Linked DNA regions of Saccharomyces cerevisiae S288C. Changing the gene in region 1 together with any one later gene gives a genetic interaction. Each region holds a gene or a part of one and is shown on either strand. Other genes may lie near its edges. The genes, in order: IRC10 and ADY3.

The links.
Region 2: of IRC10 (region 1) and ADY3, changing one enhances a phenotype caused by changing the other (phenotypic enhancement), as found in Saccharomyces cerevisiae (one study listed by BioGRID).

Annotation. Positions count from the first base shown.
Region 1 is NC_001147.6:289,305-302,175, forward strand, and holds IRC10 (Irc10p), read left to right. Parts: upstream 1-7,773; coding exon 7,774-9,534; downstream 9,535-12,871. Other genes in the region: TOS7 (Tos7p), read left to right, coding at 1-1,249; t-SNARE syntaxin TLG2, read right to left, coding at 1,577-2,770; ESC8 (Esc8p), read left to right, coding at 3,225-5,369; calmodulin-dependent protein kinase CMK2, read right to left, coding at 5,473-6,816; YOL014W (uncharacterized protein), read left to right, coding at 10,389-10,763; E3 ubiquitin-protein ligase HRD1, read right to left, coding at 12,076-12,871.
Region 2 is NC_001136.10:18,041-35,779, forward strand, and holds ADY3 (Ady3p), read right to left. Parts: upstream 10,736-17,739; coding exon 8,363-10,735; downstream 1-8,362. Other genes in the region: AAD4 (putative aryl-alcohol dehydrogenase), read right to left, coding at 1-526; YDL242W (uncharacterized protein), read left to right, coding at 919-1,272; YDL241W (uncharacterized protein), read left to right, coding at 2,595-2,966; GTPase-activating protein LRG1, read left to right, coding at 4,783-7,836; GUD1 (guanine deaminase), read right to left, coding at 10,945-12,414; AIM6 (Aim6p), read left to right, coding at 12,617-13,789; PHO13 (4-nitrophenylphosphatase), read left to right, coding at 14,256-15,194; YPD1 (Ypd1p), read right to left, coding at 15,375-15,878; GTPase-activating protein GYP7, read right to left, coding at 16,197-17,739. UniProt on the Saccharomyces cerevisiae protein: Involved in the pathway that organizes the prospore membrane (PSM) during sporulation. Mediates the assembly of the DON1 ring structure at the leading edge of PSM during meiosis II.

The DNA.
Region 1 (12,871 bases):
TTCCACTCTAGGCTTTCTTTCTGCTTCTTTGATATGTATCGTGGTATTTTTACTGTTTTACCCACATGTAACCTGGTGTTCATGGGTCCTGATACCAGGAGCTGCTTTATCTCTACTAGTAATTCCTTTGATATTCTCAGCTTATTCAAGAAGCTCAGGCTCAAGGGATGATGACGAAACCGAGGAACTGGAAGAAAAGGGCATGCTGCTGAATGACCCATATCTAAGTTCGAAGTCCGGGAGATTCGATATCGACGCTGATAGTGAGGCCAACCTCCGTGGTGATTCAAGAACGAATTTATTGGGTGACAATTTTAAGAACGGTACTAATATCACTGTTGTCCCAGATATTATTTCACACAATCAAGATCCGAAATTATCAAACATAACCACTTCTACCACGTCTGATATTTCTACTTTCGATAAAGAAGCAAAGGACATGGAAAATTCAAATGGTTCCGGACTTAATGAAGAAGAGGACGATGGCATGGCCTATGACAAAAGGAGGTCAACTTCAACGTATTCTGTCATTGAAAGTGAAAGTGGCTTGAAAAATGGGAGTGTTTCTAATAATTATGTGAGAAACAATGGTAGTAACACCAGCAACAATATAAACTATAAAGTTCCGCTAGGAAAAACGGAAATATCATCCAGTGCATCATTAGCGTCCTCAGACTACTCTCAAAGAGAGGTCATACCGCACAGAAATCCTTCGAGACTACTAAACGACATCATGGAGACCTCCTTCAATGAACCAAACGATAGCCACATCAACAGCATGTCCTCCTACAACGATAAAGATTCAACGTTGACTTCAATATCACAGAGAGGTGTCAATCCGGAAGTATACAATCAAATGCCTCGAGAAACAGCCGCTGGTCCTGCAAATATAAGGCCGTACGCTGGTCAGCCACACCCGGCGCCATTAGTGTATCCCCAACAACGACTACAACCACAACAACAGCAACCACAGCAGCAATATCATCAATACAATTTATATCAAAGAACTACTCCTGCTGGTCCAGATCCTTCTAATGTTATTTTACAAAGCAATCCTTATTTCAACGTTGCCCCAAACCAAGTGCCACAGCACAGAAATCCGGTACCAGGCGTCGGTTTTGCTCCGAATCCTTTACCAAACCAAAGCCCGATAACACAAGGATATAAGCCTGCCTATAAGAGGAGAATGCAAAACAAAAACTTGCCCCGAGCTACTACTTCACTGAACAATCCTTACGGATTTAGGTAAAAAAAGAAAAATGAAGGTTCTTTTTTTTTTTTTATATTCTACAAATCACAATAACCACCAACTTGTATTAAACCATATTTTATCATCTTCAGGAACTACTTATGCACAATATTCGTTCGCCAGTCTTTACTTGCGGTTCAATTTTATCCCATATAAATTTGTATTTTATTATCATACTACATACTTTATTGAAATCATATATTAACCTTTTCACTTTTCTCAAATAGAACGAGCAACAGGTCATATGAACGCTGACTAAATCTCTCAATTTTCTTCAAAGCATATTATAGTTCAAAATCGCGATGCGGTACCGTGAAAGTTTTGTCATCAAAGTAGGTCATCCAAAGCATCATTCTCAGATTCTGTTACTTCAACGATACTCGGCAAGTTGCTCTCTTCGTCATTAATATGGGTATTACTGCCGTCATCATGACTGTTATTAACTGTTTTATTATCATCATTGTTGTACTTGTTGCTACCATTATTACGACCACCACTGCCACCGCCATGTGGTTTCAACATAACAAAGAAAAAGAGCGCTATTACGCACAATGTTAGTAATAAAATGACTTTACATTTTTGAGTTCTCTTCTGGTAGTGTGTTGCTTTATTCAACTCTTTATCTGCACTTTTTAGCTCTACCACTGTATTTTCCAGATTATAATCAATCCTGTCCACAATAGTCCCCTGGTCAACAACCAAATCTTGCATTTCCCTGAAAATAGTGCTCACTTCTAATACACCCCTTGCCAACTGAGTAATTTCTTCGTCACGTTCTCTCAAATATGCTTCTGCAGAAGTGTCATGAAGCTGTTGCTGTCTCTGCAACGTCCTTTTTGAATAGTCTTCAATATCGAGGCCCTCTCTCTTCTCTCTTGCTGCCTCCTCTTCCTCATCATCTAATAATAGCGTGTTCTCTGCACTGGCCTTATTGCGGATAGGTTTCAAATCATCCTTGTTCAAGAATTTCAAGTAATTATTTTGTAATACTCTGAACTTATTACTTTCAGTTTGTATCTTTTCTGCATAGATCTTCTGTAGATTATCTAGTATAATCAGCTCTTCTCGACTTAATTGCTTACCATCCACAAATTGAGAGTTGTATATGGTCTTTAATCGTTTCATAACAGCGTAACATTTCTGCAGCATCTGAATTACTTTGAAACTTAGATCTTCAATCAGCGCCTCATCATGACTCTTGTCTTCAAAGCCAGGTAACGAATTCTTCCTATAAACCTTCGCCAACTGCTCACTTAACCGTCTCACCTCCAGAAGATAATCATCAACATCCTGCGCTATATCAATAAATATGGGTGGTAACGCATCACTGTGATTCTCATGCTTGTTTTTTCGTTCATCTGTCAATCTGGCCGATATATCGTGAGACATATTCATCATCGGGTATGTACCCATTTCAATATCTTGATCATCGCCCAAGGGTGCTTTCCCAGATGAGAAAGTTATGTTATGAGGGAAAGTCCTACGGTATGATAAAAATAAATTAGTTCTATCTCTAAACATGTTTGTAACGACTGCCTAGATCACAAAGCGATAAAATGTACATCAATTGGAGACTTTCCTGTCTTGCCGTACTTATAGTCTATTCTGCTATAATCTATACGCACTCACTTTACACCTTAAAAGCCCAATACAAACCGGTCCAACAATTATAATTCATCTATAGGGCATATACAAAAAAAAAAGGTAGGTGTAAAAGATAATAAAATACAACCCTATTAGCTTTGATAAAAAATTAGTAGGGTTAGAATGTCATATGGTAGGGTGATATAAACGCGTGAACTTTACGCGTTTATATGTACTAAGTTATTTTCGGTATTAGAGAATACCATATCAACGACTAACTCTTAAGCTTTCGATTGTATGAGCTGAAGAAACGGCCTGCTCATTACCAGGATATCTCTTTTTTTTAGACATCAAACAAGAAAATAAGGAACAAGAAATTTGAGGTACAATAATGACAGAAATTATTGATTTAGACTTGGTCGATGACTTTATCAAGAAACCTATGGTCAAACAACAGAAAAACCAGTCTTCAAAGCCTAGGGTAAAAAGAAGGGGTCAGTTGACCTTTGATGATTTCAGAAACATCAAAATTGTAGAAGAACCTGTTGTACTTTCTCACAATAGTTCAATTGACGAATCACTGGATGCTGCTACCCAAAATACTAAAAAGCGGGAGAAATATGAAGGTACCTGTGATGAAGAAATGAAAACTAAAGAAATGGAGGCAAATATGGCAAGCAAATATTCTAATATCAAAACACATTCGAACGACACTAACAAGGTAGAGTCGATCAGTGAACACACTACTTCTAATAATAGACCATTGAATACATTAAACTGGTCACCAAATATTCCTTTACGATATTCTGACTTTGCAAAGTTTATGAGTGATGAGACGGTAACGGAAAGCAATTGGGCGCCTCCCCTTTGCACCCCTCTCCCATATGCAGGCGATGTTATGAAGATCCTTTCTTTTATCGTCAAATTTAAATGGGTGTTCAGCGACGATCTACTGAACCTGTCATTTCAAGATGTGGAGATAGGACTAGAATTAAAGGTGGCTGGCCATTCTGCGAAGAATATTCGAATTTGTCAGGATAAAATGAATCTACTATTTTGCAGTCTTTTGAGGTTATTATTCTGCTCCGAGAAAAGAGCAGACAACCAAACTCATAGAAATTTCACGCTAAAAAGATTTCTTAGTTTGAAAAATCCATATGGAAAACTGGTTGGCAAACTCAGAAGCTTAATCCAGGAGTGGGGCTTACCAAAAGAATGGCGTGGTAATAGTGATATTTTATCTACTCTAAATTTTAATGGAGGTGGTTTGTTGACGATGGAACCATTAGATAGAATAATATTATTGAGATGCATGATCGATTGGAATTGTAGCTACTCCGCACTTTTCCATAATGAAATTCAAAGGCTCACTCACTTGAAAGGCGATACAGGGTTCAACCATCAAACTTTTCACGCCAGCAGGTTTGCTATGTGCGGGGCCAATAACATATTAGATAGTTGTGAAGTTTTATGCTCTTTGATGAGTCAAAAGTTGGAAAATCGAAAGAAAAGGAAGCCCAGCGACAAAGGAAAACTGAGTAAGATCAATAGTCAGATGAAATTTCTAAAGGGTGTTCGGAAATCATTGAGCGAAAAAGTAACTACAGACAGATTACGAGCTGCAGTTAAAATAAATGAAGAATGGGGTGAATATTTTGCAAACGAATTTACACACACACCAATTGATGATCCCACCGTAGACGAAATTTACAAGTTAAGGACATCAGAGTTTATGATAGCGAGAATTCCACGAGTTGGAGATTTCTACTTACCACCATTCTGGATTGGCAACGAATGCAGTTCAGTAAACACTAGTTACAGTTTCAATGACATGTCAACTTATCTTAATTACTTCGTAAAATTCAAAGAGGAGGGTACAAAAATACTGCCTGCAAAAACCGCACAAAATGAAAACAAGTGTCAACTTAAACTTATATATAGGAACACTCCTGCATGTATCCGTAATTTACAGTTCAATGATGTTCACTTTGCCGAGGTGCCGCATTGGTTTGAAGTTGCAGGAGACTCGAATTCTTTGAGCAACTTCATTGAGTATTTGGAAAGTTTATCATCACTTACTGAAAATGACACCGATGATACAAAAAAGGGTATAGACAATCTAATTGAGTTTTTGAAAATTTTCAGTATATTCATAAATGAGACTATTCAGCGCATAACTGCTGCCCCTACAGGCAGTACTGAAGGACGTCATTTGCGAACAAGCTCTCAGAGAAGAACCACGGTGCATTACTCGAGTGATGTAAATGGTGACGTTTCCGAGGAAAGTGAAAATGAAGTTGACATTGACGTTAGCGATGACTATGATTCAGAATATCTGAGTGAGGAGAATACATTGACAAGAAAAGGTGAAGATAGGACAGATAAATCTTTTGGGAAAAGAGAATTACACAATGGCGCTAAAGATTGTGATAGGAATTGTGATGATATAGAGATCTTCTCAGAACCCGTTAGGCAACTACAAGATAATTCTCGGGAAAAAAGAAGCTTGAGGCGTAATGCCAGAAAAGGTCTATAGTTTGAATGCCATGAAGTGTAGCTGCTGGTTACATAAAATCGTCACTAGCTTTACACATTAAATATTATATACGAATTTATGTACACGAATTCAAGTCCGTAATTTAGTCTTCTGACTTCGACTCCCGATCATCATGCAGTGTTTTCTTGCTATCGTCTTCCTCTTCACCAGCCAAAACTTTATGTTTATTCTTTGTTGCAGCTTTGACAATTTGAACAAAGGCATCCTTTGTTAATGCAGACTTCAATTTCATTTGCTCTTCTGTTAGTTCTCCCCCTTTCTTCTGAGATTGCAGACGTAAATCATCCAACGAATGTGTGACGCCGTCCAGAAGACTTTCATTGAGGGAATTCTCTTCTATATCGTTATCGCCATCGTCCCCTAATGAATACATATTTCTTAACCTCTTAATTCTATTATTAAGCTTCACAATTTCAATAGCGTCACGTAATTTCTTACGCAAAGAAAACCCTTTCTTAACGTCTGGTAAAATATTACTAGTTTCAACTCTCTTTGAAGTAATCCATGGATCGTCCAGCAATTCCGTAGCAGTTGGTCTGTCAGCTGGATTCAATCTCAATGCCTTCAAGATGAAACGCTTAACATCAATAGATATGTTATCCCAATATGGCATATGGAAGGTTACCGGGTATCTCGAAGCTGTACATTCCTCCATGAATCCTTCAACGCTTTCGGCAATAAAAGGAGAATAACCGCACAGTAAAGTATATGTGATCACACCAATGGACCATATATCACAAGGCTTACCATGTCCATCTTGTGTGAGGACTTCTGGTGCCACATAACCCAACGATCCGGCTGCTTTGTATATCAAATCCTCCTCCCCCTTCAATTGTTTAGCTATACCGAAGTCCGCAATTACCAGAGGCGAATTTTCTGACTTATCAACATACAAAACGTTCTCAGGTTTCAAATCCCTATGAACAACATTCTTGGAATGCATATACTCCACGGCACCAAGAATCTGAACTATGATTTCAACAGCATCCACTTCTGTGAACTTCCCTCTAGACAGAATTCTATCAAATAATTCACCTCCTGTTGCCAGCTGAGTGACAATATAGAACTTATCCTTCGATTCAAACCAATCCTTGAATGACACAATGTTCGGATGACTCAATTTTTGAAGAATGGACAGCTCTTCGTACAGCATCTGTAATTGCACATTGTTTCCCTGCAATGCCTTCTTCAATAAGATCTTTATAGCAACATCTTCATTTGTGGACAACTTTCTGGCTTGTCTCACAACACCGAAGGAACCGGCACCCAGTGTTCGACCGAAAATATAATTAGTCCTGTTGACGTAAGATTCAGGTTGACCGCTTAATTTATTGATAAATTTTGCTACAGGGTGGCCGTTTAGACGCTCTGGATCTTGGACATCTACATGAAATTCAGAATTTATGACCTCTGACTCCTTGGGCATTTTTGGTGTCTATATTTATATTGGCGATGTGATAGAAGAAAAGGTGACGAAAAGATTGATCAACGAATTGAAGTTCTGCTGATCTTGAACAATATCGTATTGTTTTATATTATTAGGATTACCAAGAGAAACAGCAATGGGTGGCTTCAAAGGGGGCAGGGTTCTAAGATAAGCCTCAATTATTCTCTTCGCGCTGCGTTAAAGCGGGCGCTTCTCCGAAAGTACAGCACGTTCTGAAAAGCCTCATCAACATAGAATCCATATGATGCTCAACGACTGGAAGTAAAAACATGAAAATTGAAAAAGAATATGCCTGCAGGAGCATTGGGAAGTACATAGTGGCTTATAGACTGCCAAAAAAAATCAGTACGGAAGCAAATGAACCTTATGTTATCCAGGGAGCGGTGAGTAACTGAGTAAAAACATTAGGCAAATTTCTTCCAAAAAATCATTGACATTGCCTGTCAATTGAGTAAATGAATAAATAAATAAATGCAAAAAAGCCAACCTAACTCTCCTGCAATGATACAATGAGTACTGTATCAACGACCATTAGTAAGTATCATGAAGTGTTTTGTATATTTGGAAAAAACCAGGCTGCATTGCCCCAGTGGTGTATTTATATCTACTGCAGTATGTTCTATTCTGTGAAGTTCCTAAAAGACACCGAGGTTTCTATGGCCTAACCATATTGTTGTTCTAACGCCTTTTCTATGTAAGGGTCCTTATTGTTCAAAGCCCCACCGCTCCTTCGCGCGTTGTGCCTATCATTGTGTCAGTAAATGTTAGGATACGGGAAGTGTATATATTAATTGAGTGGACACAGAAAACGCTCTAGAAAGGAATATCTCACAAAGAACTGTAATATAAGCCTACATTATTGATTTTTTTAGTTCTCTTGCCCTTATATTACCGTAAGTCTGCGGTATAATCACCTGGCCTAGTGCTTTTTCAATCATGTTCATTGAATACTCTAGATTACCAGGCTTCGAAAGCATCAATATATCATTTTCTAGAGGCATGCTAAGATTGGCTAAATTTACTAATTTCGCTACATACAAACAAAAATTAGAGTACTTCAGGCTGTTGGCAGGTTCAAACAAATACATCCAACGAATCAGCGTTGCTGACTTTGAGAGACATCCAGATGAAATCAATTATATTTACATTATACTAATATCCATTCTCCAAATGGAAGAGTGTATGCCAGTCCTAGTTCTATGTCCAACTGTTTATTGGGTACGATTCCACTGGCCTGGAAAATGTTCCGTGAACAGTTTGAACTTTACGAATGAAACGTTAAAAAGCGCTTTCCATGCTGTCTTCACTCCCTATTTTGCACTAATGAAAAAAGTTCTTGGAAGGATTAAAAACAACATGTTGCTATTTGCAGAACCTCATGCAAATTTAAATAATTTGTTTGTCAAGCATTTCCACGATCTCATATATAAGAGCGTAAAGGATGAAAAAACCGGCGAGGCAATTCTGTATTTGAGAACTAACGTTAATGTTCCAAATGTTTTTATTGACGATAAAAGAGCAGTTTTTCATGGTGACGGTATGAAAATTGGAAAATTTACCGGCAAATTTTTATGCTTTTCCTTCAAACGAACAATAAGATGGTCAAAATTAGATTCAGTGGATTCTTTTGCGGTTACGACAGTAAATTATAGAGTATCTGTAAATTGGGAAAAGACACCAAGAAAGACTTTCCTTTCTCTAGACAGTGACACCAAAAATTTACACTATATATCGAAAAAGATATTGAATAAAAAGGGAAAGAACGCCACTACATCAAAAACAACAAAAAGTTCATGCACAAGTGAGAACGTTTGCGATGATAAAACATTCTCCGTCGAATTCCCACTTACAACGTCAGCAAAAACTGAATATTTGTTGAGAAGTAATTTTTCTTTAGAAAAAATTAATGAAAGCAACAATCCTACCCTTCAAGAACTTACTTTAAACCGTACACATCGCTTATACCGATCAAATTTTCGCAATGAACAAAGCACCACACAGAGGAAGTTTGAAAAAATCGGTAGAACTGTCTCTACTGATTCAGGCAATAAACTGCTTACGTTTCCGGAACAAAAGGCCACAAGAGATAGTAACCCCTTCTCAATCGAATTGACACATGCAACAGTAATTTCCAGCGACGAAAGTGCCTTAAAAGACACTACTAATCAAGCGATAGCCGAAATGCAACGTATAACTCCTGCTATTGCAAAGACAATCTCGAGAAGAACAGCAAATTGGGTCTGCTCAAACCCAGCTCCTGATCCGTATGGGGAACCTTCAACGTGGTCCAGAATTTTGACCCCTAATTTGAAAATAATATCGGAATCATCACCATATTATCCAGTCCATCTAGCTTCACCAAATTCTACCTTTAGTAGAGATCAAAGTGTAAGAAGTGTTGTCATGAGGAGAAGTTCTGTATGTGTTGAAAAACAAAATAGTTTCTTCAGAAATTACGAACATTTCAAAAATATATTGTCGAGAAGAACTATTAAGGTTAAGACATCATGTCCTAGGCTGAGCGTTGACGTAAGTGACAACAAAAGAGAAAATTTATCACAAGAACACCTCATTTTACCGAACAAATCTAGAGAAAAAGTCAACCGATTTAAAAATTGCCTACATAGAGTTGCAGAAGCGCTCAGAGCTGCCAAAGAAAACTGGGATCAGCACAATCCCAGGAACTCTATTCATTAAGTACTGTTAGTTTTTATTTTGGGACACCCTTGACATATAGTTTAGAACTTTACCTACTTTACCCTTGTAAAGTTTCTTTCCTTACTTAGCGAAACTGTACTGAATAAGTTGTGTAAGACAGAATCTTTGATTTTTTCCAGGAATAATCATCACTGCCTACTGCTACAACAGACTAGTTTACTCTCCCTTTTTTCCGTTTTTATTCCGACAAGGGGCATGAACATTCAATACTAAATTCTTTTGTGCTTTTTTTGGGAAGCCTTTTCTAATAAGTACCAGAAGACACATTTTTATGTGACACTACTTTAAGCCTCGAATGTTTTTTTGTGCCCTATTATTTCTAAGCAAAATATTAAACAATCTAGGCCGTAATTAAAACGCCTATCTTGGTACAGTGTTACAGCGGCTTATACAGTTTATGTTAAACTTAAAATTACATAAAGTTTCGAGAACTTCCCCTTAAGAAGGGTCCGGGCGCAGGCAACTGAGCCTACTCGGAATAAACATCGATGACCGTTTTTGGAAAAAGGGTTTGTCGCGGCATATAATGGATACTGAAGAGGTCGCCTGAAAACCTGAAAATTTTTTAGCCACCATAAATAATAAATAGTTATATATATTAAAACATCATTTGCTATTTTATCAAAATTCCGTTGTAGCGTGGTCAATTGTTCAACTATTTCAATTGTTCAGAAAAGTGAAGCTACTTAAAAGTAGAACAAAAAAGAGTTACTCGAACGTTGAACTCTTTGATTATTTAAAGATTTCAGTTTAACAAAAAAAGTAAAGTAACGTGAGAATGTCTGATTCAACAACTTCCCCCACAACCACATTTTCTACTTCATTATCACCAAATGCGACCACATCATTTTTTTTGTGGTAACATGGGAGTGATGTATACGGCCATGTCTGGATACGAAACAGAAGACGCACAAGCCTACTGGGCATGCGGTAGAGCATATGAATCAGCTTTTGCAACGTTGACTAAAAAGGTTCCAGGAACCACATTCTCAGCTGATATGCCAACATCTACTTGGCATGGTGTCCTGGATTGCGGCTATTCCTCTTCAATTAACGTGGCAGAAAATAAAAGTTCGCCCATCGATTATTGGAATTGTGGTAGAACATATGCCAGGAATTATGCTCTGTCCGATGCGCTTTCACTGAAGCCAACGAATATGTTACAGTACTTTCTATTAGTATTATTTTTTATCTGCATTATACTATGAGAAAAGCTCATTAATATTTGAGCACTTAGATAAAGTTGCATATGTGTATGAATACATTCTGAAGCAGCCATTAATTATTAATTTATTCAAGGGCATAATCAGTCCAAAATTTATGTTTTTACAATTATTTTTTTTCTCGTTGTTGGTTTCTAAATGACCTAGGAGAATTATGTATAGAGATTAGAAGCTTTTCGACAATATAGACTTCATAATAACGAAATGATTTTACTTATGTCTGCAATTATTTCCTCATGCCTTCCTGTATTATCGCTTGTTAGTCCTAGTACGTTATTTGCACGCCTGTTCCGACTGAATTCGATGAGAGTTGGAATCTATGTCACATTTAGCACCGTATAGGCTAATATTCTAATAAGCGTGACAAAAAATTGGAGTGTTTTACTTGTAATTGATGAATATCAATTCAATGCCCCCATAGCTTTTTTTTACGGGTGATTCTTTTTTTATTGTATTTTTCCACCACGAACCGTAGATGGCTTATTGCATTTCTACATGAAAGAATAGTAAATGTGTAGCCTTTGTTACGTGAATAACTTACTTATCCAAGTATTAAAAGAATTTTGGACCAGATTTCTTCTTCTATTACTATCCCTCTAATTGAAATATGAGTGATTTTGAGATAATTGTTGGAATTTCATCGTTGTTACAGGTTATAATATTAAATATACAAAATATGCTGGAAGTTCTTCTTGAGTATATAGGAATTCACAAAAGGAGAGTCGATATATCTACATATTATGATAATGTTTACTTCTTCTTCCATTTTATATGTTATCATTTATTATCCTATTGCATTATCAACCTTAGGATTTCTGCTTCCTTTATATGTGATAGCTGTTCCTTAATCATTATGTCACCTTCCTATGCCGTATGTGATAATATACTAGTAACATGAATACCAATAATAAGTGGATGGTACTAGAATTACATTTCAACATAGGCTGAGTTGCTTTGGAAGGCCATGATGTGTATTATAAATTCTGAGTCTTTTCATGGTTCTCAGAAAAGATCGGGCGTGTGGTCTAGTGGTATGATTCTCGCTTTGGGCGACTTCCTGATTAACAGGGGGACAAAGCATGCGAGAGGCCCTGGGTTCAATTCCCAGCTCGCCCCCTTTTTTACTATTGAAAAGTATTCGGTCAGACGTAGCTGATCGATGTAGCATGTGTACGCATTTCTAGATATCGAGTAATTTCCGCTGATGTATAATATATATATATGTGTGTGTGTGTGTGTTTTTCATCCAGTAGTTTTTTTCTTTAAAAAAAACTATGTATAATATAAAACATGCAATCTAGATATGCTGGATAAATTTATCTGGTATGACAATTTTCTTGGCAATTTGCTCGCCCCCGTCTCCATGCAGAGAATTTACTTCGTGATTTTCTATTGTTAATTTGACAGGAATACCATTTTCTTTCTCATCTGAATTTGTGATCAAAAATTCGTAGGCTGATCGGCTTGACCCAACAGAATTATCACCAGTTTTATGTAATGGGAACGTATACCACGTAGGAGATGGTGTAGAGGTTGACCTTGTTCTCATTGCTAATGTGTCTATATTTTGAGTAGGCACTATCCTTATATCAGGGGAAGTTGTTCTTGTGGGAAGTAGATCTACTTCGTTTGCGAAACCTTGTTGATCTGTCGCTATCCCAGTGCTATCTGTTACGGTGGTCTGTGTCGTGATATCACTATTGGAAGTGAAAGTCGTTTGCACAACATTACCTTTTTCATCAAAGACAGGCAATCTACAAATAGGACAAGTCTGAGAACGTTCCATCCAATTCTTTAAACACGACAAATGAAGTATGTGGCCACAAGGTAACCTTTTGGGTTTCTTGTTTTTATTCTTCCACGTCTGCTGGTTTGGAGAATGTATTAACTCATCCATACAAATGATACAAATATTGTCATCATTTGCAGAATTTTGTAGCTGTTCTACGGTGACAGTGACAAGAGTGTCGTCGAGCTGTTTGTTATTTCTCCAGATTTTCCACAAACTTGTGCCACTTTGATATAGTGCCAAGATATCCCACACCACATCTTTCAAAAGCATCATAGGCATCCTAAATGGTATTAGCATAGAC
Region 2 (17,739 bases), on another chromosome or scaffold:
TGATATCGCGCTCAAAGTCCCTGTTCAACACATTCCATTTACCTTGATAGATACTAAAAGGAGTTTTCCCATGAGATGTGGCGTAGTAGTTTGCCGCAGAAACAACCCAAGCAGGTGTATCAGACACACCCAAATAGAGGACTTTGCCCTGCTGAACTAAAATATGCAAACTATCCATAACTTCTTCGATTGAACTCATATAATCCCACCAGTGAACGTAAAGTATATCAATCCAATCAGTTTGCAATTTGCGGAGAGAATCCCTCACACTCACATGTAAACTATGCTTGTGATTACCACAATAGTTGGCACTTTTACCGCCACCTACTTCATACTTCTTATAATCTCCGGTAAACTTGGTGGCAATTACAATTTGGTCACGCAACTTTCTTGATTTCATCCATTCACCTATCCAAATCTCTGACTCTTCATTTTGGTAACTGTTTGCAGTATCAATGCAATTACCTCCTGCTTCATAAAAAGCATCAAGAAGTTCAAAAGCCTGTTCCTTATTCATAGAGCCCATAAAGCCTGACCATGCATCGCCGATTGAAGCTCCTCCCAGAATTAGCGGTGAAACTCTTATGCCGGCAGTTTTAGAAAGAACCCTGAGACGTCCCAACTCGGTAGGTGGTTCAGGTAGAGGTTTAAATAATTCACTAATATTATTGAATAATATTTTGTAGCTATAGGAAGTGTATTCTAGTGAAATACAAAGCCGCTCAGTCAATTCGTCAGCTGGCCGATGAAAGGAAGAACTGCAACTGTCCTTGATCTGGAAATATTGTCATGACTTTTATATGGTTCAAAAATCTGCCCCCAATTTGTTCGAGGATATTTAGTGCAACTTAGTTGGGTCTTGGAACGAGGTCTGCTTACTAATTTTATGTTGACGGTTGAAAGCGGATTTTAAAACGTATGAATTTAGAAGAGAGCCAATCAAATAGGGGTACGCTTAATATTAAAAAAATATTAGTAATTGTTTGTATGACGAATAAAATTTGTAAGCACCTGATCCAATCCTTATTATTGAGCAAGAGACGTCTTGTTTCTGTACTCTTTGATAACTATCAAGGCGACATGAAACTAAGGTCATCTCCATCTGCCATTCCTCTAGTTCCGTCAACGAAAATTCTTCAAGCTATGGAGGCCCGGAACGACATTGTTGACAGTCTGATCATCAATAGTCACGCAACGGAAAGTGATCGCCGGACTTTAGGAGACCATGAGGTTAGACAATGTGAGGATACCAACTTCGGCTTCAAAATTTGATACAGGTTAATTTTGAAGGCAACATTTAGGTTCGGCCTTATTTAAAAAAACCTTCAGGTACGCGTTCAAGATCCCATTTTAAAGGTATAGGCAGATTGCACTATTTTACCGGCAAATGTGCGAATATCGAAACTGGAAGATGTTTTCAAGAAAATTGATTTAAGATCCATTTGTCGTGTTTAGAGTTCTCATTGTTCTGGTCAATGATTTCAAACTCAAAAGGCACAAGAAACTTACAAAATTTGTTTCTTATGAACATTACGCCATGTTCTTTGCGAGCATGTGCTATACAGTCTTGCTAGAAAATGGCCCTATAATTAGAAAGCTCAAAAAATAACCCAATGCTGCATCGATTTTTGGAGAAAGGGGGTCAATCATCATCTATCTTCATAAATAACGAGTTGCAGAAAAATTGGAAACTGGTTGATTTTGAAAAGTTTTCATTTTTCTGGCAACAAATTATAGCTACAAAAAAAGAAGTTATGGCGCATAAGATGCATCAATATATGGTGTGACCAGATTGGACGTAACTAGTACTCATGTTATTATTCATATCCTTCATTTTTCCTTCTTTTCTTCTCCTTCTCGAACAGTAACTTCAGATTGAAAGACGTGAGGATGCTTTAGAATGCACATTAAAATTAATATACTACTGGCCTCTTGTGTTTGTCATTGGCTTCTATTTTCAATAAAACATCCAGACAACCCTGCTGTTAATTTTGGAAAAAAAATTTCGCCGATTCTAATCATGTGACTCCTTTTCCCCAGGCAATACCGGAGAAAGCGTTCTATCTCAAACTATATAATTTGCGCTGCTCGTCTCCAAGCCCATGCTAGTGTTTACTTTCGGTTGTAAAAGGTAACTAGAAGTTTTAACGCAAGCATTGTATTATATTTTCCCACAATTGCTCTTAAGGACCTTTTTTTTTCTTGCGTGATCCTGCACTATTGAAAAGTCTTTATCAAAAATAGATGAAACTTTTTCAGGGTTCAACATTTAGAGGCTTTTCTCATATTCTTTACTCAGTTGCCTGCGAAGACCCTTCTGCCCGCTGCGCATTTTCTTAGAAAATCAAAAAAATTGCCTTTTCATCTTTTACCTTCCGAGTTGAATATGTTGACTATTTGCAAACAGGCGTATGATTGTCGTATATAACAGGGCACTTTCGGCAGTGAATCAATAGGAGGCGTATAAGAAAAGCCAATTAGTACCTATATATATATATATATATATATATATATATATATATTCCTTTATTATAATTCCTATCAGCGATTTTTGCATCACACCCAAGAAAAATCTATAATAGAGACACAAAAAAATGAACGTAACTGAAAATGCTCTATTGTTTAAGTGCGGTAGCAAGGGCTATATTAATCAAACCTATACGCCGACAGAAATTTATAATTGTGGGGTAGCTGAAGGAAAGAAAACTGCTAAAGAAAAGAACCCAACTTATTCAATTTTTTATGATACATTTCTCACTGGGCAGCCTGCTGAAAGTCCTGAAACGTTTACGTGTGGTTCGCATGGCTTCACAAATGCGAGTTATGTGGCAAGCGACTTTTATGCATGTGGTTTTCTGCAAGGGAAAGGTACAGAAACCAATGCGGGAATACATAATACAAGGCCTTCTCATTCTCTCGCCAAATTTACCATACTGTTCATGCTAGTGTTGTATACAATTGTCTAATTCTCAAGGTATGACACTTTGGATTGGTGGTCGCAGTAGCCACCATATAATTTTTTATCGTTTCTACATATAATACGAGACAGTCAGACAGAACTTTGGGTCGCCTGAGAAGAAAGACTATAAAAATGTAACCCGTCAGTAGGACTCATCTTAAAACAGTGGGTAATTTACTAAGGAGGCTGGAAAAACTGCGATAATCGGCTTATAGTACATATATATAGAATAATCATTAATCGAGCCTTTACCGCGAAATTCATGGATTTCTCAAAAACAAAGGTGCAATTACATGTTAAGCACCGAATTTCTATGCGAAACAGGTCCGTCTCATCAGTCATAGCTTTCCAAGTATATAAAACTTGAACGCAAAAGTGCGTCATCGACGCCTTTTTTTGCGCAAGGATTGTTACTATTCATTTAATGAACTCTGATGTCTTAATAAGCCAATGGTATCCATAAGTGAAGGTGAAGTCTACTGTGTTACATTAGCAAGTCAGAACTCCTATACGATACAGTATACTGCATTATGGGCACTAAAATAATTTAGATTATAGAAAATATCGATACTATGCTTCCACTTCTCACGAAGCGGCCATGTTTTAAATGAAGTACGTTAACGCTAACACAAGGCTTGACAACTTTCATGAGCGTCAAATAGTCTACGTGTGGGCTCACTTTTTCAGATTTCTTCTTGGCTTTTGTGAGATGTATAATTAACAATAATCATAAAATCGCTACATAAAACAAAGCATAAAAAATTACAGATTTCCTGTTCAAAAATCAAATCGGTCCAGTTCAGCTATTGTTCTGCCGTTGTTCATGCTCAGAAAATTGGACCATGGTGTCATCTAACTTTAGTTGGTCCCATTAAGCTCTCTTCTGTATATCATGTTTGCCATATTGTCATATCATCTGCTTAGTATTAAACCGTTGTGGAAAACAAGAAAATTGCGAATTACTAGTATAGAAAATGCATTCTAAGTCGCCTGTGATTCCAATAGCAAAGAAATTGATCTTAATGGAAGTAGGAAATAGCTGTGGCAAAGAGACAGGATACTAAGATTGGTTTAAGGCGAGGTCATACTTAGCTATTTCCTTCACCAACATTGGTTTTCGAACAGTCAAGAGATGAAAACGCAAAAAAGTGCACTATAAAGTAAATACTCAAACGTTCCCAAAACAAAACGAGAAGAAGCGATAGGCACCTCAAAACTGAAATTATGGGCAAACAATATAACCCGTAAAAGATCACTTTACGACCAGAACATAATCAACATGGGTGGCCCCCATGTTGTACTCAGTTAGCTTTTTGAGCTAGCAAATATATCAAGAAGCCCGCATGTGCTACTTACGTTTGAATTACTTCTCGTTGTAACGCACTTTTCTACAACGTACCTCACTAGTAAATATAACTTAATGCTTGCAGGTTAGCCCATCGCTACAACACCTCCCCACAAAGTATTTACTTCAAGAAATCGATCTTGGCGAGTATATCCTTATCTTTATGTAAGTATCTTTTTCGTCTTCAAAGTATGCCGGGTATTGATGGGCACGGAAGATGTAAACAAAATGGAAAACAAATAAGAACAGAATCTGAAACGTCATTTGAGAATTTAAAATATGTAAATCATTCCTCTCGAGCCAACCAAGGCTGTTCTTGCTAGAAACCAGCAATTGGGCTTCTCATTCAAAACAGTATCCGTCTTTGCCTTAACATTGTTATTTGGCCTTTATCCCAGATATACGCAACCGTATTTATTCAAATCCAAAGAAAAAAAGAGCAGACAAATTATCAAACAACAAGTACCGGAGGTGAGCAATGATTCAAAATTCTGCTGGTTATCGATCGCTGAATACTGCATCTCCGATGACCGTGCAGGTGAAGAATCAGAAGAAAATATGCGCCCGTTGTAACAAGTTAGTTATACCCGATAGCCAACGAACTAAAACAACTTTAAAGGCTCTCGGTAAATATTATCATGAAAGTTGTTTTACCTGCCAAGACTGTCAGAAACCTTTAAAACCGAAGTACTTCCCATATCAAGTAGACAAGACAAGTGAATCTATATTGTTATGCCAATACGATTATTTTAGAAGACATAATTTGTTATGTCATGTATGTGATACCCCATTGCGTGGATTATATTATACCGCATTCGGTTACAGATACGACGAAGAGCATTTTTCTTGTACAATATGTGCTACTCCTTGTGGGGTTAAAAAATGCTTCATGTACGGAAACCAATTGTATTGCAAGTACCACTTTCTCAAGTATTTTTCGAAACGTTGCAAAGGGTGCGAGTTCCCAATATCGGATCAATATATCGAGTTTCCTAAAGGTGAAGAAATACATTGTTGGCATCCGGAATGTTATGGAATTCATAAATATTGGCATGTAAATTTAGCAGCAGAAACTGTTGGTTTGCAGTACCTTCCCAAGCTGGAATATAACCCAAATTCCGGAGACAAAGATATAAACCCAACTGCCTACGAGTTAGATAAACAAATGCAGGCGTTTAACTTTATTCTATCTAAAACGTGGTCGGTTTTATATCGTTTTGAGGAAGAGGCAGCTTCTTGCATTTCTGATATGTTTCAATATTTGACAAGCAATGATCAGTTAAAGGGCATAGAGTCTACGGGTCTGTTGGTACTAAAAATCGACTGTCTTTTCCGGGGACTGGATACTTTAAACCTCTCGACGAACAAAAGTATGCCAGTTAACAGTGATCAAGAATGCATTGAAAACAACGCAATGGCGGCCAGTAAATACAGCAAGTTTCCCAAAAATCTGTCCACAAAAATTATGATATATTTACAACTCTTAAGAAAGTTAGGGACAGAAAACAAAAACGAAACTATCACAATTTCATCTTTTATGTCTGTTATTACTGGATTAGCCCATTTTCTAAAACTGTTAACAAGATTTGGGCTATATACGGCTCTAGAAAACAATAAGTTGACTCATTCTGTTAATCCATTGTTGAGGTTTTTAAGAGAAGTAGAGAAAAATGAGCTTTTTGAAAATAACCCGTTTCAGTATATAAAGACTCCTGTTAACGCCACAGATAGTTGCGCTGGATGCAATAAATACATACAGGAGGAATGCATTCAATTTTATGAGCACCGGTGGCATATTGCTTGTTTTACTTGTTCTTCATGCCATAAGAATATAAATCCGAGGAGTTTGACGGATCCCACCTTTAATAAAGAGAAAAAAAAGATACTATGTTCTCACTGCTCAATTGATGATCCGGCCTCTGTGCCGGGTTTCAAATTTGTTACTAAGCTAGCACAACTAATTTTTCTTCTAAAAATTGCCCTAGTCAAATCAAGAACTGTAATGTTGAAATCGAAAGCATCTAACAAGGTAGGCAGAAACTCTTTACAGAGTACTATGCTAAAGGAACAAACTTACATTAGGACACTGAATGATATTAAAAGATTGAGATCTAGAAGAGAAAGTGTTCGGGTCACTCATAACAAACAACAAGCTAGAAAATCAGTGATACTGGAAACTGCAGAGACAGATTTAAATGACCCGACAAAACAAGGAGATAGTAAAAATCTTGTGATTCAAACAGATGACCCATCATCGAGCCAACAAGTGAGCACACGTGAAAATGTTTTCAGTAATACTAAGACGTTGACACTAGATGATATTTCACGTATTGTTGCCGCTGAACAAGCAAGGGAGCTAAGACCTAACGCTTTTGCACACTTTAAAAAACTAAAAGAAACCGATGACGAAACTTCGAATGTTGTTCCCAAGAAAAGCGGAGTTTATTACTCTGAATTAAGTACGATGGAACTCTCGATGATAAGGGCTATCAGTTTGTCACTGCTAGCTGGTAAACAACTGATATCGAAGACTGATCCTAACTATACTAGCTTAGTCTCAATGGTCTTCTCGAATGAAAAGCAAGTCACAGGTAGCTTTTGGAACAGAATGAAAATCATGATGAGCATGGAGCCTAAAAAGCCCATCACTAAGACTGTTTTTGGTGCTCCTTTAGATGTGTTGTGCGAGAAATGGGGTGTTGATTCCGATTTAGGTGTGGGGCCAGTGAAGATTAGGATCCCCATAATTATTGACGAGCTAATATCATCTTTGAGGCAAATGGATATGTCAGTAGAAGGTATTTTCAGGAAAAATGGAAATATCAGAAGACTGAGAGAACTAACTGCTAACATCGACAGTAATCCAACAGAAGCTCCAGACTTCTCGAAAGAAAATGCAATCCAATTATCTGCTCTTTTGAAGAAATTTATCAGAGAGCTTCCCCAACCGATTTTATCGACAGACTTATATGAACTATGGATTAAGGCCGCGAAAATTGATTTAGAGGATGAGAAACAGCGTGTTATATTGCTAATATATTCCTTATTACCCACTTACAATCGCAATTTACTGGAGGCACTTTTGTCATTTTTGCATTGGACGTCCTCATTCTCTTACATTGAGAATGAAATGGGATCAAAAATGGACATTCACAATTTATCCACAGTCATAACACCTAATATTTTATATTTGCGACATAAAGAAATTTCCAATGATAACGTCCCTGACGAACCAGAATCAGGTTTAGTTGATTCATTCGCTCAAAACAAGGGAGAAAATTACTTTTTGGCTATTGAGATAGTTGATTACCTGATTACTCACAATGAAGAAATGGCAATGGTTCCGAAATTTTTAATGAATCTTTTAAAAGATGTGCAGTTACAAAAATTAGATAACTACGAATCAATCAACCATTTTATTTCCACCGTTATGCAAAGTAAAACAATCGATTATTCCGAATGTGACATAAAAACTCCTGTCACAGTCAAAGATTCGACCACAACGGTCATACAAGGTGAAATAAACAAATAATAGGCAGAAACTGTAAGTTTCCCCTCATTTTCCTTTTTTTCTTCTCCTTCCCCTCAGATTTCGAGGTTTGTCGTTCTTATTAGAGTTCTTTGCTTTTTTCTTTGCCTATTTCAATAAAATCTTACCAGTATGCTATGGAAATGGACATTATTTTATTATTATACAACATAGTATATTCTGACTAAAATGGAATTAGAAATTGTAACATTAGTATGTACTTATAATCATTTGTATCATTGTATTACTCGCCTTTTGATGTAAATTTTGTTTATATCTCAGAACATCTCCAACAGCAGATCAGAAGTTACATTGTTCTTGTAAGTGCTTAAGAAGTCTGTTAGCAAATTGAAATCTTTCAGAAGAATATTCCACCAAAATTTCGGAAAAGCAATACCAGCGGTAAAATATCTGCCATGCTCTATATTATGTGACTTTATTTTAGGTGCACCCCCCACCAGTAACTTATTCTCTAAATAATAATTAATGACACCATTGAATATATTAGTTCTAAATAAAAAAAAAAAAGCTAAGAAAAGAAATATTTAAACAACGCTTGCAAATCATACTCAAGAGGATGCTTTACTTCAGCAATATCATGATTGTTCAAAAACTCATTCATTGCGACCTTTCTTCTACTTTTGAAATCTAACTGTTTACCAAAAACCTTAAGGTTCAAATCATTAGCAAATTTTGTGAGAAGTGTAAGCTCACATCTAAGTTGAATGACAATTGTTGGTACAATTTTTAAGAAGGTTTTTAATGGGATATCCAACACAATTAATAAATTTTTGATTAGATTTTGCGATTGCACATAGGTAAGGTCTGTCAGAATATCAAGACCCAAGGAGTCGTACTTTTCCTTCGTTATATGTGGAAAAGATTTTCCAACAGTTTCAAAATTAAGTTCGGTAGAAGGATCACCATATAGTTTTTTTAAATTCAGCTTCTCTTGGAATACATCTTCTTTTAGTGATAGAATTGTTTCTTCGAGTTTTAATATTTCACTTTGTTTTCCAGCTAACTCGTCAGTAATTTTCTTATGTGTGTTTTCTGACTCTTGAATTTGAGTGCTCCATCTTGAAGCAATCAAAGCCTGATTCTGAAGTTTCTCAACAATTTCCTGGTGTTCATTCATGTAATCGTTCAATTTATCTTCGGCATTTTTCTGAATTTTTTCACTTAGTATTAATTTTTCTTTTAACTCGCTCTTCAGTTTTTGAAAGTTTTCTTCCTTGAGGTTCAGGATATCATGCCATCTCCTTTTTTCCAAACGAAATTGTTGTTCTTTTGTTAACGCCTCTTTTTGAAGATATTTTATTTTGTGACTGTGCTGCTGTTGCATAAAATGTAATCTTTCATTAATCAATTTAAAGACAGAAATGATTTTTTCAAGACGTATACGGTCATTCTTTTCCAAAAGTTCTATCTTTCCTTTTAATTGTTTGTATTGCTCCATATTTTCAAGATTTTTGATATCTTGAAAATCCGGATAAAGCTTGGCAAAACCGTTTTGAAACATCGAAGGGGAATGGCCACATTTCATTTCTTCTAGTATGAATTTACCAAGGTCTTTCTCAAAAAGAGAAAGATTTTGCATATAGCTGTAAACATCATTTAACCTTTTCTCGTAAAACGAACCATTATCATGTAATTTTTTATTTTCATCTTGAGAAAGTTGCAAATTGCTTTTCAGTATTTCAACTTCAGATCTTAATTTTACTATAGAGTTATTCGATTCGTTAATATCTTTTAGAAATTTATCATTTTCTTGCTGCAAGTTTAGGATTTGTTTTTGCTTCCTGTATAGTTCCGAAACTAAAATATTTCTTTGAGAAAAAGCTTTACATTTAGTTTTGGCACTAGTCACTTCATTCTTCTCCTTCTTGCTAGCGTTTTTGTTTTGAAAGTCTGTAATTTTTTCTTCTCTAATTTTTTTAATTTCTTTGCGAAACCGGTCCTGAACAATGTTGAGCCTTTTTGATGCAGCTTTTCTTTCGTTGTGGAATTCCTTCTGCAAGTCTTCTATTCTTTGAAGTTTAGCATCATTCATGCTATTAAGTTCTTCTAGTTCTTGAATCCTGTCATCCTTCTCTTCTAGTTTTTGTCTTAGTGCTTTGATCTCTTCATTTTGGGACTGGAGCTCATCTAATACCTTGGGTAAACTATTTTCTTTAGAAATACTTCCTCCATATGATGAAGAAGATAGCCTAATTTCTCCTAATTTCATATATTCGGACTGTTCTTCATCTGGAGTTTTAGATGAGCGAAATACGTTCTCTAGATGCGCAACCTCTATATTCTCCTCCAGACTCTCATTGCTTACAACATAATGCTCATCATTTGAGATTGCTGCGACTTTGTGGGGATTCGTGAGGAGCTTTGTAGGTGTAGAAGAAAATCTATTCACTTCAATACTATTGTGTACTTTGTATGTGGTAAATTTACCAGGGCTTACATTTCCTAATGTACTGGGCTTTCCTGCAGGTGACAGAGCCTGCGAGCCTATTCCTACAGTTGGTAAACCACCCCTTTGTAGAAATTTATTAGGCGATTTTAAAGTATTTTTTTCCGTAGCATTTTCCAATGTACTAATGTTACCAGAAGGTGAAGAGGCTTCTGAACCTGCCCAACTCTCTGAGCGGTTTCTTCGGGAACGCCTATTCGACAGTTTTGATATAATATCAGAAGAAATACTTTCCTGCACATTAGATTTTTCAGTGGACGTAGGTACTTCAGAGTCTATCCAAGTTTGTGAACGCCGCTCTCGAAAAGGTTTACTTTCTGGAGACTTAGTTAAAGTGCCATCAGTAACATGTCTCATCTCCCCCTGCTGGTCGCAATCCGAGTTTTGTTCCTTTAGGGATTCAGGCTTATTCAAAAATGCTAACCAATGATTCATATTCGGAGAAGTTTGTTGTATTCAACTATCCCATTCAAAATCCCAAACCGAGTTTTGCAATTCTTTCACTGGCAAATCTCTTTGTGTTCCTAATCTTAATATTGTACAATGGGCGGCTAAAGCGCGATACGCAAAAGAAATTTGTACATATACTCAAATTACTCATTAATACTTGGAACAAGATATAGTAGCCCTCTAAACATATACAACTAAATCTGGTAGACTTGCTGGCCGGCTACCCAAACTTTAGTGGTGTTGCGATCATCACCGTTAAAGAACCATTTTGCGATTATGTCTTCATTAGTAAGCAGCGGTGGGTTCTTATAAGGGTCTTGCCCTTGCTCTTGCTCTTGCTCTTGCATTTGATCCTTCTCCTTTAGCTGCCAATGAAACATATCCACGTTTGAGCCGGGAGCATTGGTATCGATCATTTGAGCGTCAAACTGCTTACCGACGTCAAAAGTCCCCAAGGTCTCATCCATACGCAAGACTTGTGCTCCGCCCATTGTAGCAAGAAATAGGCACTCGGAGACTGAAAGTTTTGCATGATCAGTTTCTCTCATTGCCAAATGCCTTGAAACTGCAAAGGCCTGCCTTCCGGTGGTGAGTATGCTACAAGAATGACCGGCTGAAACGTCGGTGCCTAGACCAACCTTTATGCCCTGGTCCAGCAACCATCGAACCCTACACTCTCCAGAAGTCAGAGAGGAGTTGGAAATGGGACAATGAGATATACCACAGCGACGCTGTTTAATCACACGCGCTTCGGCATCTGTTAGATGAATACAATGTGCCAATACTGTTTTTTCTGTGAGCAGCCCATATTTGTCGTATACATCAGTATAGCTCTCACATTCGGGAAATAAATCTTGAACCCACTGTATCTCCTCCTTATTTTCCGACAAGTGGGTTTGAACGTGTATGTTTTCATCCTTGACTAGCTTGGACAACTGTTGCATTAGTTCTCTAGAACAAGAGGGCGCGAACCTTGGTGTCACTATAGGATTTACGAGGGGATCACAAATGGTTTCCCGTATGTACTTAACAACTTTCACAGTGCTTTCAAAGGAAGTTTTAGTATCTTCAATATAATACTCGGGACCATTGGTATCCATGCACACTTTTCCAACAAGAACACGCTGCCCCAATAAGGAGCTTAGTTGAGCCAAGAGCTTAGTGGACTTGAGATCAATGGTATTATAGTAAGCCACAGTCGTTGTACCGTGAGAAAGCGTCTTACTTATTACCTTATTGTAAACTTCTCTCGCAATATTTTCGTTTGCTAGTGCGGCTTCTATGGGGAAGGTATACTTCTCTAGCCAATCCAGCAGGGTAGAATTCCCAAATACGCCGACATTTGGATATTGCGAGACATGGTTATGCGTGTCAACAAAACCTGGAAAATAAAAGCTGTTATTTCGAGTCTTGTCTTTTCCAATTATGTCAACCACCGTGACATCCTCTGGTGATAAGCTACTATCGTGATCTAAACAATCTTTGACAGGATCGAGTGAATTTCTGTTCACAAACCTGATGATTCCGTTGAGAACTCCAACAGATGTTTTCTCTCTGATTCTCAGCTCTCCTAATTTAGGGGTATCTACAAAGGTACCAAAAAAAACTAGAAACTTTCCATGTTTGTCGTTGAATTTATCAAATAATAAATCACTTTTTGTCATATCCTCTTCAAAGGACAGCCCAATTCATATATTCATTCAATAAAATGTTGTTCTTTTGCCAATGGCCTGTTTTAAAATCCTTATCTTGTCTCCTTTTATAATCCGAAACTATCCAAACTTCCGAGTGATAAATCGCCGGATAGGCATAAAATATGACTCGAGATAAGACCAACAAAGATAAGTACCTCGGTTTAGTTAAGCGATGTTAGGACTGAAAGGGTGTCTAACTATTCTTATTGGATACGTTATTGCTGTCTGTGCTTTGTTTTCCAGTAGGGGAAGAAATCCTTCATTAACTGATTGGGAAAAGTTAAAGGACCAGAAAATATCGAATATTGATAACTTTGGGTTGACCGGTCAACATCTTTTAGAATTTTTCCAGGAAAACTTGCCATTTCTAAGTTTTTCAGAGGAAAAGTATCGTCACAAACACGTTTCTTTATATTATGATGTATTCAAAGAATATATCTTACGTCGTGCCAGTTCAAAAAAGTGTTTACCAGTAGACTCTGCTATCGCAAAGTTGAACAAAGATGTTAACCCAATGCCAGTTCACTCCCATAATGACTACTGGAGGAAACTTCCGCTTTTTGAAGGTCTGGCCTATGGTGCTAGTAGTACTGAAGCCGACGTGTGGAATATAGATGAAAAGATCCTAGCTGTGGGTCATAATGAAGCGTATTTGGACCCAGTTGAATTGACATTAGACAAGCTATACACTGGCCCCCTCTTGGAGATTTTAGACGAGGTGAATTGCCAAGATTCAGACGCCGATCGCAAAAATGGTGTATTTTTCAACTCTCCAGAAACTTCACTCTTCTTTTATATTGATTTCAAGTCGGATGATAACGAACTAACTTATAAACTGCTGATGGAGCAATATTTCAAATCTCTGATTGATTCTGGATATTTGACATATTACGATATGAAGAAGGATGAAATTATTTGGAGACCTGTTACTGTGATACTAACGGGCAACTACCCGACGTCATTGGATATTTTAGACAATGGAAATGATAACGGCTATTTTGAGTCAAGTCAAAGGTTTGCATTTCTAGATGCGCCGTTGTTAAGTTTGGAGCCCAAATACTCAAAGCTATCTGTAGCTGCGACGGTTTCGTTCAGCCAATTAATGAAACATTGTGGTTCTGATCATTGGAAAGTATCGCTAAGAGGTCGTATGGATTCGAATGAGATCAGTTGTGCTAAAAGCATAATTGATGGTGCTCACGCATTGAAACTTAAAACAAGAATTTGGGGAGCCCCAACCTGGCCAGCTAACCTGGTGGAAACTATTTCTCGCCAAATTATTCATGACTTGGGTTCCGATTTACTTAACCTGGACAATTTATTCATGGCATCGTCATTGATATAAGTGGCTTGAGCTGTGGATAAGAAAAGCCATATATTTATATAAACATTTAGATATGAATAGGAAGTAGATTGTTCGACGCAACTACCCGTTCAAGAAGTATAATGGGGAATGGTCTCATCTTCCCTCACAGGATATAGTTCTCTGAAGAGATACATACGTTTGTGTATACTATGCTTCTTTATCAACTCAAGTTTTGTAGAGGAAGACGTTGAAGATGGTGATGTGACATCTTTACTATTCTCCAGCACGTTTTCAGTATTTACTTAATCGTATATTAATGACGTCCCTTATCTATTAACTTTCCGGTTTTTCTTTTTTTCGGTGAATGTTCTTTCCGTTTTAGTGAATTTTTCAATTGTAATTGACGCAATCGGTTTATAACAAGCAGACATAAATATCAAGCTCGAGCCAAATCACAAAAAAAGCCTTATAGCTTGCCCTGACAAAGAATATACAACTCGGGAAAATGACTGCTCAACAAGGTGTACCAATAAAGATAACCAATAAGGAGATTGCTCAAGAATTCTTGGACAAATATGACACGTTTCTGTTCGATTGTGATGGTGTATTATGGTTAGGTTCTCAAGCATTACCATACACCCTGGAAATTCTAAACCTTTTGAAGCAATTGGGCAAACAACTGATCTTCGTTACGAATAACTCTACCAAGTCCCGTTTAGCATACACGAAAAAGTTTGCTTCGTTTGGTATTGATGTCAAAGAAGAACAGATTTTCACCTCTGGTTATGCGTCAGCTGTTTATATTCGTGACTTTCTGAAATTGCAGCCTGGCAAAGATAAGGTATGGGTATTTGGAGAAAGCGGTATTGGTGAAGAATTGAAACTAATGGGGTACGAATCTCTAGGAGGTGCCGATTCCAGATTGGATACGCCGTTCGATGCAGCTAAATCACCATTTTTGGTGAACGGCCTTGATAAGGATGTTAGTTGTGTTATTGCTGGGTTAGACACGAAGGTAAATTACCACCGTTTGGCTGTTACACTGCAGTATTTGCAGAAGGATTCTGTTCACTTTGTTGGTACAAATGTTGATTCTACTTTCCCGCAAAAGGGTTATACATTTCCCGGTGCAGGCTCCATGATTGAATCATTGGCATTCTCATCTAATAGGAGGCCATCGTACTGTGGTAAGCCAAATCAAAATATGCTAAACAGCATTATATCGGCATTCAACCTGGATAGATCAAAGTGCTGTATGGTTGGTGACAGATTAAACACCGATATGAAATTCGGTGTTGAAGGTGGGTTAGGTGGCACACTACTCGTTTTGAGTGGTATTGAAACCGAAGAGAGAGCCTTGAAGATTTCGCACGATTATCCAAGACCTAAATTTTACATTGATAAACTTGGTGACATCTACACCTTAACCAATAATGAGTTATAGAGGAGCAATGCAAAATCTAGGGGTAGAATTACTTTTTGAAAAGGAAAAATATTCAGGTTTGTTGTTTTTATGTAAGTTGTATGATTTGATATACATATATATATATATATAATATATATTGTACATGTGTTTTTCCGGGGAAGAATGGATTATCCGGAGGTGTGAATAAAATGATGACGATTATAGGTTTGTGTTGTAATATTTAGATAACTCAATTCTCGCCAGTTTGAACTCCAACCTAGACTGGTTCAAAGCTTTTGCTATCAAGATGAGATATATGGAATTTTCGTCTTTATCGTCCACTTGTATCTTTATTTCCTCGTCATCTTCATCAATATTGATTCCATTAATAATCGATTTATCGCTCAGAGTGTTGACCAATTCGGTCTTGTTGGGGAAGAAATGTTCCATTTTTCTTCCCAAGTTTTGAATTCTTTCACAAACCCAGGCAATTCTTTGTAAGCCTAATGCAGCAGAAGAACCCTTTAAAAAATGGCCCAGATTGTCTAATTCGGTAAGATTTTTTTCACCGTCCAGCTGTCGTTGCATTTGAGCAAAAGTTGTTTGTGCCTGGTCGATAAATTGAATAATTAGACCTTTAGAAAAATCGGAATCATCGTCATCCATAGATATAATTTCATTTAAGATGGTCCAATTGATGATTTCTGAGGGAATAGTAGACATTATTGTGTGTATTTTCTTGTTTCCGAGAACGAGTGTTGTTATTTCTTTTGAATTTTTCAAAGAAATAAAACTATTACACGTCAGTGGTTATCAATGATCCAGAGCACAACTATCGACCAACCCAACCGGTTTAGAAATTAAAAACAATAATGTTCCTAAATATAGGTTCAATTAAATTTGATAAAAATATTAAACTTTTTATGTAATTTTTCTTCAGTTTTTCCGTTTCGGGCGGGTTACGGATGTATTGATGATTATGTGGCATAAACGAATTATATCTCCGGTATTCAATATGTAAAGTTCCGTTTCTATTTACCACTATTTAACGGAATTTTTGCTCCTTTGCCCTTCATGTCTTATGATAGGTTTTTTAGAAAGAAGCAGGGTCAACCTCTCGCTCTGACAAGGCAATACGCCGGTAGAGGATGAGGATGAAGAGGAGGATACGTTTTGTAAATCTCTTTCCATGACGTGCATCATTTTCTCAAACTTCTTGAACAAAAGCTCTGCTCTAACCATTAGGTCATTCCAATCCAACTTCCCGTTAAGTTCATTAAAAAATTTTAATATTTGGTCGAACTGATTTAGATGTTGTAAAATAGCTTGTGAGTTTTTCTGTAGAATGGCCAACATGAAGAATAATTGGAATTGTGAACTGTAGTAGAAAGTCCAGAAATTCTCCCAAATGTGCATAATATCTTCCATTTCAAATTCTCTCTTGAACCATACTAGAAGCATTCGAAAGCAAAAGAACAAGTTTCCTGAATCACACTTGTTTAAATGTTCGCTCAATTCGGGTAGCATTAATTGTACCAATTCCACGAGAGTTAACATTTGTTCATGGATGCCACTCTGGTCTCTTAGAAAATTTCTTTCCATAATGTCCATGAAGTGCGTAAAACACCAAAACGTTTTCCATTCTTCCTTCATGATGACATAAATAGGCGATAAAAGATCGGTCATCCCCTGCACGTAGCCTAAGTTTGTGTTGTAGACATTATAAGTGATAAGAATGTTTTGTAAATGTATCAAATGTGGGTTCCTGACTCCATCGTCTGCATCATCGCTCTCGTCATTAGCGGATTCGGGGCTGGTACTGTTATTTTCATTTGCTGGGAGTTGTTGTGGCGGTGGTGGTAATCCATCGATGGTATTGTATTGAAATATCTCCAAGTTTCTATCACAGCGTCTCACATCTTTAGATATTCTGAATAATTGATCGTTCCAATATTCCTCTTCATCTTCATCGTCAAATTGTAAAAAATCTTTTGACCAGGTTAGTTTCAATTGATCGTATTCCGCGGCTAAAGTTTGATCGATTTGTACCCTCTCGTCTTGAGAAGAATCCCACGGATATATTTCTAAGAGAAAACCCCAAACTTTCCCTCGCAAACTGTCATTTTCTAACCCACCATGAAATATGAAATCCTTAACTTCGTTTACCGTGACCCTCAGCCTCCCATCGTTCTCATCCCATAGCGAATTCCATTTCGCTTCCGTTAAAGGAAATTGTCTTTGCAGAGCATTATTTATTTCAGTATCACTTAATTCATCAGTTAGATTCAGGTCGTTGAAAATGTTATTCCTATACGAATCAAAGAGTTTGTTCTGCTTTTGATACCTCTCAGCTTCCTGTTTTACTCCTAATGACCAGTTTGCCAAATACACTCTTGCAGAGTCATAATCCTGTTCAATTTGTTTAACCTTCTCATTGTTCAGAAGCTTTTGCAAGTATTCATTGTCGATTTGTGATTTTTGTATGGGTGAGTTGTTAGTCAGCCAACTATCGATAAAATTGGTAGACTTGGTAGTCACGTCTGCTATCTTGCTCATTACGTTCCATTTCCATTCTTGGAATTTC